Saccharomyces cerevisiae S288C: one gene and its partners. Changing the gene in region 1 together with any one later gene gives a genetic interaction. Each region holds a gene or a part of one and is shown in the gene's direction. Other genes may lie near its edges.

Evidence for each region.
Region 2: mutations in CCA1 (region 1) and INM2 together harm fitness more than expected from each alone (negative genetic interaction), as found in Saccharomyces cerevisiae (one large-scale study listed by BioGRID).
Region 3: mutations in CCA1 (region 1) and AAD10 together harm fitness more than expected from each alone (negative genetic interaction), as found in Saccharomyces cerevisiae (one large-scale study listed by BioGRID).

The regions. Positions count from the first base shown.
Region 1 is NC_001137.3:516,379-524,302, reverse strand, and holds CCA1 (tRNA adenylyltransferase), read left to right. Parts: upstream 1-1,633; coding exon 1,634-3,274; downstream 3,275-7,924. Other genes in the region: RPH1 (Rph1p), read right to left, coding at 1-934; BCK2 (Bck2p), read right to left, coding at 3,532-6,087; aminophospholipid-translocating P4-type ATPase DNF1, read right to left, coding at 6,844-7,924. UniProt on the Saccharomyces cerevisiae protein: Nucleotidyltransferase that catalyzes the addition and repair of the essential 3'-terminal CCA sequence in tRNAs, which is necessary for the attachment of amino acids to the 3' terminus of tRNA molecules, using CTP and ATP as substrates. tRNA 3'-terminal CCA addition is required both for tRNA processing and repair.
Region 2 is NC_001136.10:1,032,118-1,037,373, forward strand, and holds INM2 (inositol monophosphate 1-phosphatase INM2), read left to right. Parts: upstream 1-3,877; coding exon 3,878-4,756; downstream 4,757-5,256. Other genes in the region: ZIP1 (Zip1p), read left to right, coding at 319-2,946; MGP12 (Mgp12p), read right to left, coding at 3,114-3,458; Smc5-Smc6 complex subunit NSE3, read left to right, coding at 5,078-5,256. UniProt on the Saccharomyces cerevisiae protein: Responsible for the provision of inositol required for synthesis of phosphatidylinositol and polyphosphoinositides and involved in the inositol cycle of calcium signaling.
Region 3 is NC_001142.9:723,614-728,771, forward strand, and holds AAD10 (putative aryl-alcohol dehydrogenase), read left to right. Parts: upstream 1-3,791; coding exon 3,792-4,658; downstream 4,659-5,158. Other genes in the region: PGU1 (endo-polygalacturonase), read left to right, coding at 1-287; YJR154W (uncharacterized protein), read left to right, coding at 2,171-3,211; THI11 (4-amino-5-hydroxymethyl-2-methylpyrimidine phosphate synthase), read right to left, coding at 4,961-5,158.

The DNA.
Region 1 (7,924 bases):
CTTCATGGTGGACAATTTCATTGCATCGTATGCCATTTTCCTGCAGCAGTTTGGGCGAAGCCAAAAACATTTTATGTCTTAAAAATTCAGGACAATTTTTGGCTTCTTCGGGAAATTGCTCCTGCATGAATTTGTAGAATTTGAACCTATCCTCTTGCGGTATCGAATACCACTGTTTTGGGGCACCGAAATGAATATAATTTATGGAATACAGGTCCTGATCTTCCAAGTGCCAAGAAAAAGAAGCCTTCCATAGACCAGCGTATAGATAGGAGTCATTCACCCCAGGAACCTTTGTTTCCATATGGTCCAAGATGTTCGGTAGTTTGGCAACATTCCAAACGTTCAGCCCTTCAGGAAAGATTGATCCTGGTGTATCTGCGCCGTACATAGGCGTAGTAAAATTTAGCGTTTTCCAATAATACTCTTCCAAGAACTTTAATCTCTCCGTATTTTGGAAGTCAGATAAATCTATTGTATACTCCGTCCTGAACTGTTCAAAATCATCAATATTAAAAGACGATTCAAAATTTTTCAGTTTCAACTTCGTGGATTTGGAAACGGAGCCTTTCCTAGAATTACGTCTTGCTTTAGGATCCTCCGGAGGCACATAGTCCTTAGAAAGATCTTTCCACTGTATAATGTTATAGGTCTTGTTTTTCTCCACGTTCTGCACCATAAAAAGACCTTTATTACCAGAAATATGCTGCTGAATAGGTGATTTAATCTTGATCTTTTGGAGCGTTTCCGCAGAATAAGGCAGATCTAATTTGTCTTTCCATTCTTTAGGTGGGATTACTTTCACAACACCACTTTTCATGCCATATTTGTTTATGGCCTTGCAGTATGCATAGAAATCTTCGAATTGCTCGTATGTGGGTTTGAAGACGGGCACTCCGCCCACGATTTCTGAAGGAGCGATTAGTTTCGTCATGATTTCACGCAACTGAATATCCTCACCAAGACAGTCTTATTCTTTTTTTCCCTTTTTTTTATCTGTTTATTTTTCTCCAGCAGATCTATAAAATAAGTGGTACTAATAGAAAGGTTAAGTCCCCCTATTTTAAAATAATGCTGATAGAATGATTAAATTGGCCGCTTGATGAAAACCGCAAGTAGCTACTTCAGGGACAAGCAACGCCTTCGATGCGAATATATGTTTTGCTGATAACGATCTATGTACAGCGTCTGCAATTCTCTTAAAATTATCGCCTTGCCATTGTTACTTAAGGAGTCTATGTGATTAATTGCATGGCGATGAGGTTACCCTTGAAAAATATAGAAAAGATTTTTCCGAATAAAAAGAAAGTAAAACTAAAAAAAAAAAAAAAATGGAAAAAGAAAAAGAAACGTTTAGGGGAGAGGAGGGCTGCGGTTAAGGCTTATGGGGTGTATGGGCGGGGGAAATAGGGCATACTTTCTCGATTCACCAAACCCTTAGGTCATCTGATTTTTAGGGTTGTGTTCTTGTCGTTACTCAGCCCTAAAAAACATTCGTTAGGGTTGAAAAGTTGAAAAATGAATCGCAAAAATCTACCATATTAACAATGTACTAAAGGAAACTACATAATACATCGCAACGCTTCCCTCGAGATTAATTCGTATCCGTGGGTTATAAGGGCTTTTTTTGTGTATGCTACGGTCTACTATATCTCTACTGATGAATAGTGCTGCTCAGAAAACGATGACGAATTCTAATTTTGTTCTAAATGCACCCAAAATCACCTTAACCAAAGTGGAACAGAACATCTGTAACTTGCTGAACGATTATACAGACTTGTACAATCAAAAGTACCACAATAAGCCTGAGCCATTGACTCTTCGGATCACGGGCGGATGGGTGCGTGACAAGCTTCTGGGACAAGGTTCTCACGACTTGGATATTGCCATCAATGTGATGTCAGGTGAGCAATTTGCTACTGGTTTGAACGAGTATTTGCAACAACATTACGCCAAATATGGAGCCAAGCCTCATAATATCCACAAGATTGACAAGAATCCCGAGAAATCCAAGCATCTGGAAACTGCCACTACTAAGCTCTTTGGCGTTGAAGTGGATTTTGTCAATTTAAGATCTGAAAAGTATACTGAACTTTCCAGGATACCTAAAGTGTGCTTTGGCACACCCGAGGAAGACGCTTTAAGAAGGGATGCTACATTGAACGCTCTTTTCTATAACATTCATAAAGGTGAAGTGGAAGATTTCACCAAGAGAGGTCTGCAAGATCTAAAAGATGGCGTTCTCCGTACTCCGCTTCCTGCAAAACAAACATTTTTGGATGATCCCTTGAGGGTTTTGAGGTTGATCCGTTTTGCTTCTAGATTCAACTTTACCATAGATCCGGAAGTGATGGCTGAAATGGGCGATCCTCAGATTAATGTTGCATTCAATTCAAAAATTTCTAGAGAGCGAGTTGGTGTGGAGATGGAGAAAATATTAGTAGGACCAACCCCTTTATTGGCTTTGCAGCTGATTCAAAGGGCTCATCTTGAAAATGTTATCTTTTTTTGGCATAATGATAGCTCCGTCGTAAAATTCAACGAAGAGAATTGTCAAGATATGGACAAAATTAATCATGTATACAATGATAACATACTAAACTCACACTTGAAAAGTTTTATTGAATTATATCCAATGTTTTTAGAGAAGCTTCCTATCTTAAGGGAAAAAATTGGTCGTTCGCCAGGATTTCAGCAAAATTTTATATTGAGTGCGATCCTGTCCCCCATGGCTAATTTACAAATAATCGGGAACCCAAAGAAGAAAATTAACAACCTGGTTTCGGTGACAGAAAGCATTGTGAAGGAAGGATTGAAGCTGAGTAAAAATGATGCAGCAGTTATTGCCAAGACCGTAGATTCAATATGTTCATATGAGGAAATACTTGCTAAGTTTGCAGATCGTTCCCAGCTAAAAAAATCCGAAATCGGTATATTTCTACGGAACTTTAATGGCGAATGGGAAACAGCACATTTTGCATCTCTATCAGATGCATTTTTAAAGATTCCCAAGCTTGAAACTAAAAAAATTGAATTACTTTTCCAAAATTACAATGAATTTTATTCTTACATATTTGACAATAATTTGAATAATTGTCATGAACTAAAACCAATAGTGGACGGAAAACAAATGGCAAAACTACTTCAAATGAAGCCAGGTCCATGGCTGGGTAAAATTAATAACGAAGCGATTAGGTGGCAGTTTGATAATCCTACAGGGACTGATCAAGAATTAATAACTCATTTAAAAGCCATACTACCAAAATACCTGTAGTAGCTTATTAGTATACATAAGACATGTAGAACAAGAATGCATAAATAACTTTCTGTTACCTTATTGAAAAGAAAAAAATAAAAAAAATGAAAACGAAAATGAAATAATATCTCTAGTAGTTATTCTATGGTGTATGATAACTAAACATATTTATTAGTTTTTATATACTCTATTCAAAATTTTTTACCAGTTTTTAACTTTTTCGAAAGATATCTGTTACTATTTTTGAACTTTTTTTTTTTTTTTTCATTCCTTTTTTAGTTGCTATTATCAAAATAAAAAGACTGTAAATTATTATCAATGTCGTTATTTGCAATTGGTGCTGCATTTTGATTATTTGAGTTTTCCACAGATGAGTTCGCCTGATACTGTGGAACGAAAGTATGACCATCGTAAAAATTTCTTTCACTGTTGTTTGAAACGTTTGAGCCCATCAGGTCGCCTAATGAAACAGTTGCTGAAGTATCCGGAGATATATTTCCAATGTATGTATCCGCAGACTTGGGTTCATTCATGTTGATGGCGCTGTTGCTGTTGTTATTGCTGTGGCCCATCTCACCTAGTAGCTTCGATTGCTCATGGAAAAACGACTCTGGGTTTTCAAAATCGAACTCGGTATACACTTGCAAATTAGTCTTTGTTGTATCAACATTGTTTGGTGTTGAGCCACTGTAAGAAACGCGATTTCCGGTATTATTATTGGATTCTGATCGAGAAGCGTGTTTCCATTGAGATCTAATAAAATGATCGAGGTTTGCATCACTCAATCCCAATCCCGTATTTACCAATGTATACTTATCTTGATCTTGAAAGTAGTTTCCGGTCGCGTTGCTTGTTGTAGTGGATATTGAGTTCGTCATAACAGAATCTACGATGCTGCTACTAGTTGTACTACCGTGTGGCATCAAAGAGTTAAAATCTAAACTGTCATCCTTTCTGTGAGTATCCATCCCCATAATATCCCTTCTTTGGAAGTGTGCCGTATTCGGAATATCTTGTACTAGGACATCCTCTTCTTCATTTTCTTCTAACGTGGATCTAGGTATACCTTTTAGTGCCGGTATATTCTCCATTGGAGTATTGAAAGCAGAGAATTCCCCACTAGCGTCGTTTTCGTTACTGTATTCTTTGTCAAATGAGGAAAAATTGCTAGATGGGCGATAACTTGTAACAGTACTGGTACTTGGAACAAAGTTCATATTGTGTGTTTCAAGCACATTTGGAGTTGAAGAAGCAGATGCAGAACTTGGTAATGTGTAACCTGTCATGTAGTAAGGAGGAGTCACCAGAGAAGATGAAGGTGTTGTAATGTACGAATTAGAATGTTGAATTCTTTGAGCATCAGAGATAGATTCTTGTTTCTTCCTATGCCCTCCTTTGACACTGCCACTTTTATGCTGTGGTTGGCCATCCAAGAATATTTCGTTAACTGGGGTTGTACTATCCATTTCTGGTAGATCAGTGACGCTTGGTAAAGAATTAAGGTCTCTGGATAATCTATAAAGGGAAGACCCACGAGTTGCGGATCTTGCTCTTCCTGGCGATGCAACTCTTATTGGTGAATAACGATTTGACATGGATGATAATGAGCCAACTGAAGTGGTTCGCTGAGTTGGCAATTTATTAACTTTTATATTTGATTGCTGAATAGTTTGTGCAATAGTGGGTGAGGCTAGCGAACACGTGGACCCGCCAGTGTTGGCTCGTTTTCTAGTAAACATCTTACTAAATGCAATAGAAGCGTCATTTTCTTCCGGTAATTTAACTTTACTTTGTGAGTCTCCGCAGTTGAAAGATCTTGAAGTTCTTGGTGAATCAGGTGAATGCTTTGCAAAGTGGGGTGTACTTAAATCGGAGTTCAGACTTAAAGAGGATTTATTGTTACTGTAGTTTTGATCTTTGAAGTTGAATGATTCGGTAGAATGATATAGCCCACTTTCCTGTGACTTTTGTCGGTCTGAACTCTGAGGCGCCACTTTATTGTACTTCAATCTTGTATTTTTTGTGTTCATGAGAGGTATACTTGATAAGTTGGGAGTAGAATTTGTTTCGCTTTCAGTGAACCTTGATGGCGGTTTTGCTAGTGAAGGATCATGAGTTGATTTCGGAACGACTTCTTTCTCGGAACAAAAATCGTTATTGTCAATAGGCAGATCAGTAGTGTTACCCATCATGTTTAATGATGGAAAGGACAAGTTTCCAGAGAACGGAGTTTTACCGTTTAGCCTATTGTGTTTTAAGAACGAGTTATAAGATCTTTTGGTTGTTAGTGACGAGGCGTCGATTCCGCTTTCTGAGATAGGGGTTCCCGAAAGGGGTTTAGATTCTGAATCCATTTGAAGCACCATTGGTTGCTCTTCAACGATGTCCTCTATGTGTTCGTTCTTTGACGATCCAAATATCTTCAGCATTCTCCTTTTGGAGGATTTCTTCTTTAATTTCGCCTTTGGTGCTGGCACAGAAACCGGCTGGGTTTGCAAGTCAGTATCATTTTCGTTAGCCGTGTCCTGTACAGTATAATTGACGAAGACCATTTCACCTGATTTCTTTCTACTACTCTTCTTCGCCTTAGTATGGTTGTCTCTGGGATCCTCTAGCAAAACTTTTTTCGGGCTAGACATAACATTCATAGTAGGTAATACTGGAGTGCTACATGAGCCTGTTGAGGAGTTCCTGTCCGGCGAAGCTTGTGTGCTGCCGCTAGCGGATCTGCGATAATAGTGCGGAATTTTCCATTTATTCGTAGATTCCGTAGAACGACTCTTTGTGGAATTAACCGAACTGGAACGATGGTGGTGACTATTCTTCGGCATGTGCTATTGGTTTTGAGCGATAAATCAAGACTGCCTTGCTTCTTGTCTTAGATCTCCTTCTGAGCTTTCTTAAAAGACTTCCCTAAATGGCTGATCTGATTGTTTCCTTTATTAACAACAAATCCACTGAAAAAAAAGTCAATAATTTGATGGATATTAGCGAATGTTAACCGGAAATAGGAGTGAAAGACGTGTATTACAAAACTATGACTATGCCTGATTAATATCCTGAATAACTAGGCATGAACCTTTTTTCACGCAAATAATAACAATAGGCCTAGGATTTCTATGATATAATAAACTTTCTGTTAGTATAAAAAACTATTTTTGATAAATATAGTCTCTCACCTAGTCAAAAACATACGTATCACGGCTTGATTAATTCTTAACTCTACTTTACAACATTTCAAAAATTCCTTTGATCATGACCTTAATCAATTTTTTTGCCAGTTAGTGGAGAGTTCCCAGCGCTGGAAAGTGCTGGCGTCAGTTTTCCATCGGAAGAAAAAATTAGCCCACCATTGTGCGTCCTTGAATAATAGCGATCCGGGTTAACCGGGAGTGTTAATTATAGAACAAAGAAACCCACACGTCCGCTACTAAAACTTGCTAAAAGAAAGAGTTAACGCTGTAGTATGCATGAATTCCAAGGCTTCTAAGGCTTCTAAGGCTTCTAAGGCTTATCCAGTAATATTATGTAATATTATATATACAGTGAAAAGCGGAGTTCCATCAGCTATGGTTCGGATATCATTATTAATTGTTCTGTTGTGTTCCGATTAAGGAGGCTGCGTTAGTTACGCCTGGTAGATCTAGAGATGTTCTCGCTCTTTCCACAGAGTAGCGGTTATCTAGTTGGTTAGTGGCGATCATCTGTTCTCTTGTGCGGTCCAAGGATGACCTGACGTTGGTTGATGGGCCTCTTCCGAACGTTTGGGCCTGCTGAAATTGGGGCGATTGAAGAAGATCTTGTGTTTCCTTGGGTGAAGTCATCCAGGTTTCTTGCTTCTGATATCCGCTAGGACTTCCATCTTCACCGTGCATGAAAGTCATTGGAATCTCCTCTGTGACAACACTATCCCTTGAATAGTTCGATCCTCCTAAGTTGTCGGAAAGTGCTATGCCTTCTATAATCTTCTCTCCGTGTTGCCCAGCTTTTGTGACCTTGGGTCTGTTGGGATCTGTTGGATCGTAACCAGGAGGATAATGATCGAAATGGCCATGTTGCCACATCTCTCTTACTATTTCCACATCAGTTGGGTAGAAAAATTTTTGAAAACTGTCATATGTGAAACGGGGCAGTAAGCAGAACAGCACGGCAACAAAGAAAACAGCCCAAAATGAAGGTGCTCCATAGATACGCGCTGCAGCTTTGAAAAATTCTCTACTAGCTATCGCAGAAGACCATATTCCCGTCCATGCAAAAACTACGAGGCAAGACAGTGCAATGAATAATCCACTAAACCAATCCCATCTATATTGGTGTAATAAAACATATGTGTTACACGAAATTACAGCAATAGTGGTCACATAAACACCGACAAAATAACGATGATCCAATCCTAACCCATTGCTCGTAACTATCATATTTTTGTGATAAACCAAGTAAGGGAAAAAAAAACAGATAATAGACTGATATAATCCGTCCAACATATACCATAAGAACTTTCTTTGGTTCCATTCTTTCCTTAAAATTCCAACACGGTATAACTGAGGGACCACTAATGATATTGTGTCATTCACGTCCTGGTCCAGAATACCTAAGAAGATGACTGGTAGGGATGTAAATGCCAAATTATAGAACATCATGTATGTGTATTCATACAGGTAAGACCCA
Region 2 (5,256 bases), on another chromosome or scaffold:
GACATAATGCTATATTTTTGCTGCGCCAGAAATCGAGTACTAGTTTTTAAATATTTGTTCTAAACGGTCAAACTTTTCGTAAAAAATGCTATAAGCCGTGTTGTCCCTTTATGAAGAGCTGCTTCTTCACTTGTAAATAGCGAACAAATAAAGAAAACAATCTGCTACCTCTTTGTTAAAGTTGACCGCCTTGAAGAGAACTGCAAGTCTCTGAAAGTTTTAGCTGAATATTGTCACCTCTTTTAGGATTAACAGTAAGCATATTTTTTTCTTTGAGATTCGGAAGTAAAATACCCTCGGCGGCTAAATTTTTAGAGAATGTCAAACTTTTTTAGAGATAGTTCAATGGGATTCAAGCCTCGACCAAACATCTTCGCTAAGCTGAGAGTCAGAGATGTAGATTCAGATTCTTCCGCTAATACTGTTGTCGAGAATTCATCCAACTGTTTAGACGTGGGTTCTTCTATAGAGGGAGATGATACCTTCAAAAAACCCCACAAAACTTCTACCGAACAAGAACTGATTACAAGTATGAGCCTTAGTCAGAGAAACCATGGTTATTCTGATGATATGGAAATAGGTTCACCAAAAAAAACAACATCAACAGACCAATACAACAGAATTTTAAAAAATGATGTTGCCGCAATTGAAAATGATACTGATGAAGATTTTGAAATTACAGAAGTAAGAGAAGTGAGTGAAGGAGTAGCAAAAGAAACGAAAGAAAGTCATGGGGATCCTAACGATTCTGAGACAACTCTCAAGGATAGTAAAATGCATGAATATACTATGACAAATGGAAAGGCTCCTTTGCACACGTCCATCAATAATTCTAGTACATCTTCAAATGATGTCCTGTTAGAAGCCTTCACAAACACTCAAAGAATATGTTCAAATTTAAAGCAAGAGCTACAAAAGCAGCAACAGGATAATGCAAAGTTGAAAGTTCGACTACAGTCGTATGCTTCCAATTCTGATAAGATCAATGAAAAAGTCGGAAAATATAAATCTTGTTTAGAAACTCTTCAAGAAAGGATTGCAACGTTGACGAGCCATAAGAATAATCAAGAAACTAAATTGAAAGATTTAAGACAAAACCACCAACTATATCAGAGAAGGATAAGCGGATTTAAGACAAGTATTGAAAACTTGAACAAAACAATAAATGATTTAGGGAAGAACAAAAAGGAGGCGGATGCAGAATTAATGAAAAAAGGTAAAGAGATTGAATACCTGAAAAGAGAACTAGATGATTGTTCAGGTCAGTTGAGCGAAGAAAAAATCAAAAACAGTTCCTTAATACAGGAAATGGGAAAAAATAGAGAAGAAATGATTAAATCAATTGAGAATTTCTTTTCAGAAGATAAAGCACACCATTTACTGCAATTTAACAAATTCGAAGAAAGAGTTCATGATTTGTTTGAAAAAAAATTACAAAAGCACTTCGATGTGGCAAAAGATACCCTTAACGTAGGCTTGAGGAACACCACTGTAGAGTTGAGTAGTAATACAGAGACCATGCTAAAGCAGCAATATGAAGATATCAAAGAAAATCTTGAACAAAAAATGTCATCCAGTAAGGATGAAATGGCAAAAACAATAAATGAGCTGAGTGTAACGCAAAAAGGACTTATAATGGGAGTACAAGAAGAACTATTAACGTCATCAGGGAATATTCAAACTGCTTTGGTAAGTGAAATGAATAACACAAGGCAAGAGCTTCTTGATGATGCGTCTCAAACAGCCAAAAATTACGCGAGTTTGGAAAACTTGGTGAAGGCATATAAGGCAGAAATAGTTCAGTCGAATGAGTATGAAGAAAGGATAAAACATTTGGAGAGTGAAAGGTCAACTTTGTCTTCACAAAAAAATCAGATTATTAGCTCTCTTGGTACTAAAGAAGCACAATATGAAGATTTGGTCAAAAAGTTGGAGGCGAAGAATATCGAAATTTCACAAATTTCTGGCAAAGAACAAAGTTTAACTGAAAAAAATGAAAACCTTTCTAATGAACTGAAAAAAGTCCAGGATCAACTAGAAAAACTCAACAATTTGAACATCACAACAAAATCAAATTACGAAAATAAAATATCTTCTCAGAATGAAATTGTGAAGGCTTTAGTTTCCGAAAACGACACTCTGAAGCAAAGAATTCAACAGCTAGTAGAAATCAAAGAAAATGAACAGAAGGATCATACAACCAAACTGGAGGCTTTCCAAAAGAACAATGAGCAGCTACAAAAGCTAAACGTCGAAGTAGTACAACTGAAGGCTCATGAATTGGAGCTTGAAGAGCAGAATAGGCACTTAAAAAATTGTTTAGAAAAAAAGGAAACTGGTGTTGAAGAATCACTAAGCGATGTAAAAACCCTAAAACAGCAAGTGATAGTTCTGAAATCGGAGAAGCAAGATATAACAGCTGAAAAGTTAGAACTTCAAGATAACCTCGAAAGTTTGGAAGAAGTCACCAAAAATTTACAGCAAAAGGTGCAATCGCAAAAGAGGGAATTAGAACAGAAGATTAAAGAGCTAGAAGAGATAAAAAACCATAAACGGAACGAGCCTAGTAAAAAAGGTACACAAAATTTTACTAAACCATCAGATTCACCCAAAAAAAATGCTACGACGTCCAACTTATTTCCTAATAACTCTGCTGCCATTCACTCTCCTATGAAAAAGTGTCCTAAGGTGGATCATATAAGTAAGTCAAGAATTAATTCATCCAAAGAAACATCCAAATTTAACGATGAGTTCGATCTTTCTTCATCATCAAATGACGACCTAGAGTTAACCAACCCTTCCCCAATCCAAATTAAACCAGTGAGAGGAAAAATCAAGAAGGGTTCAAATTGCATGAAACCTCCAATTTCTTCAAGAAAAAAATTACTACTAGTAGAAGACGAAGACCAGTCATTAAAAATAAGCAAGAAAAGGAGAAGGAAATAGAGGATAATGGAAAATTTGAAATCGTTTTGTGCGAATACATTTCATTTTGTTCCCTGCGTAAGAAGTATGCATAGTAAAATTAGCGTAGATATAGTTTTTTGAGGTATATACTTATTCATAGCTTATAAATATTTACAGTGTTGTAACTCTAGTAAAAACAAAAGAGGTCATCTAGATTGCATTCTCCTTATTTTATCACTGATATCGTCTTCTTCAAGAAAGTGCAGGATCTTGGTGCACGACTTAGGATCACCAACTTTCTCAATATGAAGTACTGGTATGTCGAAGCAATATTCCTTCCACCATTTTGCGTTTCTTCGGTCAGTTATGTTGACTATCTCTAGTGAAACTGCTTTATTATGAAATTCCTTTCTTTCAAATACATCATCTATCACTTCCTTTGCTTGATCGCATAACCCACAATTAGGCTTTGAGAAGAAAGTTAATTTCACTCCAGCATCATGTAACAATACCCTCGAAGTATGTATAGAACAGCGGAACGCTCTCAACATGGTGATATGTTCCTTAAGTTTTATGTCTTACTGAATAATTACGAATTTCTGTTATGAATTAAACGAAACTTTACAATGCATCAACTCCGAACTCTCTACGGAAAGGTAACAACTTGCGCACATCATAGACCCATAAAGCGAAAAAAAGGGAAGTCAATCACAGTTATATTGACATTCCAAAGCCAGTAACTAAAAAACTACAAAAATGGATTCTCACAGTCATATTAAGTGACCTCTTATTATTTCCCTTAAAACGGTAATTCTTAATAAAGAACGTCAGTGTTCCGAGTGATAACGCCGTGAAGCACCCTGCTTCATTACATATGAAATCGTGGGGAGAAAAAATCGTGAAAACAATATAGAGAATAAGTGAAGTTGAAGCTCCACAAGCCCTTGTAAAGTAAACTTAGATTGAAGCGATGGTATTAACGAGGCAAGTACTAGAGGAAGTGGAGAACACATTTATTGAATTACTTAGGAGTAAAATAGGACCTCTCGTAAAATCGCACGCAGGAACAAACTTTTGTTCATATGATGATAAAGCAAATGGCGTAGATTTGGTAACTGCTTTAGACAAACAAATTGAATCTATAATCAAGGAAAATTTAACGGCCAAGTATCCCAGTTTCAAATTTATCGGAGAAGAAACTTATGTAAAAGGTGTCACGAAAATAACTAACGGCCCTACATTTATTGTTGATCCCATCGATGGTACTACTAATTTTATTCACGGTTACCCCTATAGTTGTACATCTCTAGGTTTAGCTGAAATGGGGAAGCCGGTTGTTGGTGTGGTTTTCAATCCTCACTTAAACCAACTATTCCATGCTTCCAAAGGCAATGGAGCTTTCTTAAATGATCAGGAGATAAAGGTTTCAAAAAGGCCATTGATTTTGCAAAAATCCTTAATTGCTTTAGAAGGAGGTTCGGAAAGAACTGAAGGTTCCCAAGGAAACTTTGATAAGAAAATGAATACTTATAAAAACTTACTAAGTGAGTCCGGCGCCTTTGTTCACGGGTTCAGAAGTGCAGGAAGTGCTGCCATGAACATATGCTACGTAGCGAGCGGCATGCTTGATGCTTATTGGGAAGGTGGCTGCTGGGCTTGGGATGTTTGTGCCGGTTGGTGTATTCTTGAGGAAGCAGGAGGAATAATGGTTGGCGGAAATTGTGGAGAATGGAACATTCCATTAGACAGAAGATGTTACTTGGCTATTAGAGGTGGATGTGAGTCGATGGAGCAGAAGCGATTTGCAGAATCGTTTTGGCCTCACGTTGCGGGTGAGTTAGAATACTAAATGCCCCCCTCAGGTGTCGTTAAATAAGCTACATCTAAGAAAAGTTTATATAGTACTTCACGCAATTCCTACTAGTATTTTTTTCCAGTACAGGACGATATCTTGAAGCAGCAACTTGATTTCACAGGTCACTTAGTGTGGGCTTCTGACTCAAGAATAGCAAGTATTACATGCATGCGGCCCTCTCCTTTAACAGCGCGATATACGTGAAGAAAAATTTCAATGAAGAGTAATGCGCTTATTATCAACTTCGATTGAAGGGGTCCTATATCAGTATGCTACAAGGGAAGGTTGTTCGATAAACATAAGCTTCTCATTAGCATGAGTTCTATAGATAATGACAGCGATGTGGATTTAACAGAAGATTTAGCCGTGGCCAAGATCGTTAAAGAGAATCCTGTAGCTAGAAAAATGGTTAGGTATATTTTATCGAGAGGAGAATCTCAAAATTCGATCATAACAAGAAACAAGTTACAATCTGTTATACATGAAGCTGCTCG
Region 3 (5,158 bases), on another chromosome or scaffold:
CTAATGTCAACTTTATCAGTAATAAAATTAGCGGCATAAAAAGTTATGGTATTGTTATCGAAGGCGATTATTTGAATAGTAAGACTACTGGAACTGCTACAGGTGGCGTTCCCATTTCGAATTTAGTAATGAAGGATATCACCGGGAGCGTGAACTCCACAGCGAAGAGGGTTAAAATTTTGGTGAAAAACGCTACTAACTGGCAATGGTCTGGGGTGTCAATTACCGGTGGTTCTTCCTATTCTGGATGTTCTGGAATCCCATCTGGATCTGGTGCAAGCTGTTAATCCTCTTTTAAAGTACTCATATGACTATACATACCTTCTTTTCTTTTCTTTACTATTCAATACATAACAGAACAAAGATGCAGGAAAATATTGGTATTTGTTCGGCAATTTATGCTGGGTTTTTTTGTAAATTCAGGTCTAATTATTACTGTTGATTTGTATCAAGTTGGTATCTTTTTTGCCATTTAATAATAGAGATACGCTATGCTCATCCGGATAGCAACAATGAGAGCCTAAAAGTCCTAATTGAGAAGAAAATCTCTGTTCAAGACTATAGTTTATGTTTCATTCTGGACCCTTGGGATCGTCTGAAACAGGAAGGTCAATAATTGGTAAAAAAAATGGTAAATGCGACTAAGTACTACAATTGAAACGAATGAGCGCACTTCATCTGCCTACAAAACGCTGCGGCTGAAAAAGTTACATAAAAAACCGTCCTCAATAGCGTTAATCCAGCGTACATGAGAAAGTAATGACAAAGTCTTCGGTAATATCAGTGCATCTACCAATATGACACAATTGTGAAACTTCGCTGACTCAAATAATAGCCCTGTTTTTTTGACCATTGTTACCCATCGAGCCAGTGAGAAAAAAGCCAAAATATCTTTAAGGCCTTCTCCATTTTATGTTTATCGATATTGTGTTGTCTGCAATATTGAAATTTTAAAGGCTATTTACTTTGCCTCTTGTTATAAACTAAGTCTGCCGAATTATGCAATATATAGCAAAAGCTGAAAATAGATGTAATTACATAATTCGCAGTTGTATATGAGTATCCTTAACTCGTACATTCCAGTTCATCTGTGACAAGGCACTGTTTTCCCTAATAATTATTAGGGAAACGTCCTTCAAAAATCAAAATAATTTTAGAGAGTCTCATCAACCTTCGCCATAGTTCGTGATGAAAACTTTACGGTACGTCAGACTTTAGATATTGATTTTTTTATTATTTCTCCCATCGTGAGTACAATTACCCTAGTTCGAACTATATCTTTCATTACTGGCGGAAAAAAAATTCAACGAATGTTCTTGGCTCAATATAGCTTAGTATTTATGTTTAAAGAATTTGTAATATGCGTTACTAGTAATTCCTTTGAATTTTTGAATGCTTTAACTGTGAGTTGGCGTACATGCAGAAACGGCCGTTTAAAATTTTACCGATTGCAGTGACAGAAAAGCTAGTTGAATATTTGTTTACATAAGCGATTCAGATAGACCCCTAATAATATCAAGCTAGATATGCCTGTTGGAAACTTCTCAAAACCTGCGCTAGACGTCCCACGCAATCAACTTACAGATATGTCAGTGCTAGGGAAAAGCCATAGAATGTTGAAAAAAGCGAAAAGGGTTTACTAACTTAGGCAGGTTGAAAAGCTTCTCGAAAAATAATACCTTTTGGTAAAACAACGTAAAGAAGTACTGCCATAACGTAGAATTCTGCAGTTATGAACATACTACAGGCGAAATTGCTAAAATTAATGAGGATAGTCAAAATTGGGTTATGAATCAAAGTTTTTTATAGATTTTCAGCACCGGTGTGGCTAGTAGTCGTCCATACATGACTCAAAGAAAAAAAAAATAAGTGACATAACGCGAAGTGAGGCATTATTGGGCTGCTAAAGAATTTTACGTTGGAAAAGAGGCAAGATTGTCTCATTTTCCTTCAAAATGAAGGTACTGCTGCCCCGGAGTAATAGTAATTTATTCTCAACAGAAATAGAATATTTAATTAATCAGAGTCTAACATTAAGGTCATGTGTTGATAGCAGGTGACGCGTCTGTAAAACTAATAAAGTATATAAAGCACATCCATGAGATCTTAAGACGAGAGATTTCCCCTACTCAAAGTACAAGCAGGACAGATTCAAAACGCAATCCATACGATGAACACAGATTCACACAACCTTAGTGAGCCATACAATATAGGTGGCCAAAAATACATTAATATGAAAAAAAAGGAAGATCTTGGCGTATGCCAGCCTGGCTTAACGCAAAAGGCATTCACAGTCGAAGACAAGTTCGATTACAAAGCAATTATTGAAAAAATGGAAGTATACGGACTTTGCGTGGTCAAGAATTTTATAGAGACCTCCAGATGTGATGAAATATTGAAAGAAATCGAACCGCATTTTTATAGATACGAATCATGGCAAGGCTCACCGTTTCCTAAGGAAACTACTGTGGCAACGAGATCGGTTTTACACTCATCTACAGTCTTAAAGGATGTGGTATGCGACCGTATGTTTTGTGATATCTCAAAACATTTTTTGAATGAAGAAAACTACTTTGCGGCGGGAAAGGTGATTAATAAATGCACTAGTGATATTCAACTGAACTCCGGTATAGTCTACAAGGTTGGCGCTGGTGCAAGTGACCAGGGCTACCACCGAGAAGATATTGTTCATCATACGACCCATCAAGCATGTGAACGTTTCCAGTATGGAACCGAAACCATGGTAGGGTTAGGTGTAGCTTTTACAGATATGAATAAAGAAAATGGCTCTACGCGAATGATAGTCGGTTCACATTTGTGGGGTCCGCACGATTCCTGTGGGAACTTTGACAAGAGGATGGAATTTCACGTTAATGTTGCAAAGGGAGACGCAGTTCTATTCTTAGGGAGCCTCTACCATGCAGCCAGTGCAAATCGTACGTCACAAGACAGAGTTGCTGGATATTTTTTTATGACAAAGAGCTACTTGAAACCAGAGGAAAATCTTCACTTAGGGACTGATTTGCGAGTGTTTAAGGGTTTACCATTGGAAGCCTTGCAACTGTTGGGGCTCGGAATTAGTGAGCCATTTTGTGGTCACATAGATTATAAGAGTCCAGGACATCTTATCAGTTCTAGTTTGTTTGAAAATGATATCGAAAAGGGGTACTATGGAGAGACAATAAGGGTGAATTATGGGTCCACGCAATAATCATTGTAACGGGAAAACATATCACCACAAGTTCGCTGTAAATGTGCAGACTGGGTGGCATGCTTCAAAAGCCTATTCTAGTACTTCCCTGCTGTTTTCGCACGGAACCGGTAAGAAAACTTCGTACCGAAATCGAACAACTTTCATTACTTGCACTTGTACAAATTTAAGGGAGCGGGATTTTAAAACATATAAAAGGATAGTGGCACAACTAGGAATAAGGTGTATTACCCAATATGATTCTCACCTTCGGTTGGGGACTGGTTAATTAATTGAATAGCTTCATAACCCACCGCCGCAAAATGTGCTCTTCGAAATGTCTGAGGCTTTTGGACCTGCACCTGAACCACCTACCGAGTTAGGACGTCTTAGGGTCCTATCTAAAACAGCTGGTATAAGAGTTTCTCCACTAATCCTGGGAGGTATGTCTATTGGTGACGCCTGGTCTGGATTCATGGGATCAATGGACAAAGAACAAGCTTTTGAGCTACTTGATGCTTTTTACCAAGCAGGCGGAAATTTCATTGATACTGCAAATAATTATTAGTATGAGCAGTCAGAGACTTGGATCGGTGAATGGATGGCATCAAGAAAACTGCGTGACCAGATTGTAATTGCCACTAAATTTACCACGGATTATAAGGGGTATGATGTAGGCAAGGGGAAGAGTGCCAATTTCTGTGGGAATCACAAGCGCAGTTTGCATGTAAGTGTGAGAGATTCCCTTCGTAAGTTGCAAACTGATTGGATTGATATTCTTTACGTTCACTGGTGGGATTATATGAGCTCCATTGAGGAAGTTATGGATAGTTTGCACATTCTTGTGCAGCAGGGCAAAGTACTCTATCTAGGTGTGTCTGATACTCCTGCCTGGGTTGTTTCTGCAGCAAATTACTACGCCACATCTCATGGTAAAACTCCCTTTAGTATCTATCAAGGTAAATGGAATGTATTGAACAGGGACTTTGAACGTGATATCATTCCAATGGCTAGGCATTTTGGTATGGCTCTTGCTCCATGGGATGTTATGGGAGGCGGGAGATTTCAGAGTAAAAAGGCAGTGGAAGAGCGGAAGAAGAAAGGAGAAGGCTTGCGTACCTTTTTTGGTACTTCGGAACAGACGGATATGGAGGTTAAAATCAGCGAAGCATTGTTAAAAGTTGCGGAAGAACATGGCACTGAGTCTGTCACTGCTATTGCCATAGCTTATGTTCGGTCTAAAGCGAAACATGTTTTCCCATTAGTGGGAGGAAGAAAGATCGAACATCTCAAACAGAACATTGAGGCTTTGAGCATTAAATTAACACCAGAACAAATAAAGTACTTAGAAAGTATTGTTCCTTTTGATGTCGGATTTCCCACTAATTTTATTGGAGATGACCCAGCTGTTACCAAGAAACCTTCATTTCTCACCGAAATGTCTGCCAAGATTAGCTTCGAAGATTAGTCAAATCAATAGTTTTAGTATGTTCATAATGTGAAAAATGTTTATATATACGCTTACACACACAGTTTGATGATTCAAATACTTAGAGAAAACTTTGCCGCTCATGCATTTGCAGGCATCTTTTATTGTGTTGATTTTGCGAGGAAATAAAGTGTTAAGATAAAGGGAGTTCATTTAAAGCTTGTATACATGCTCTGATACATAAATATGTATGTCTATATATCGAGTAGGAAACAACAGCTAATGTGAAATCATAAACAAGTCGTAGAGGAAGGCTGGGCTGAACGAGTGACGAAGCACGTTTAAGCTGGAAGAGCCAATCTCTTGAAAGTACCTTCCTGTCTGCATTTTTCTTGATGAATAGCCATCAATCTTTGAGCTTCCAAAGGATCAGAAACCTCTTCTGGTTCTGGCCAGGACAAGTATTCATTAGTGTAGTTCGAGACATAGTCTGGTGGCAGAATGGCTAATCTCTTACCGTAACCGGTAACCTTCTTCCA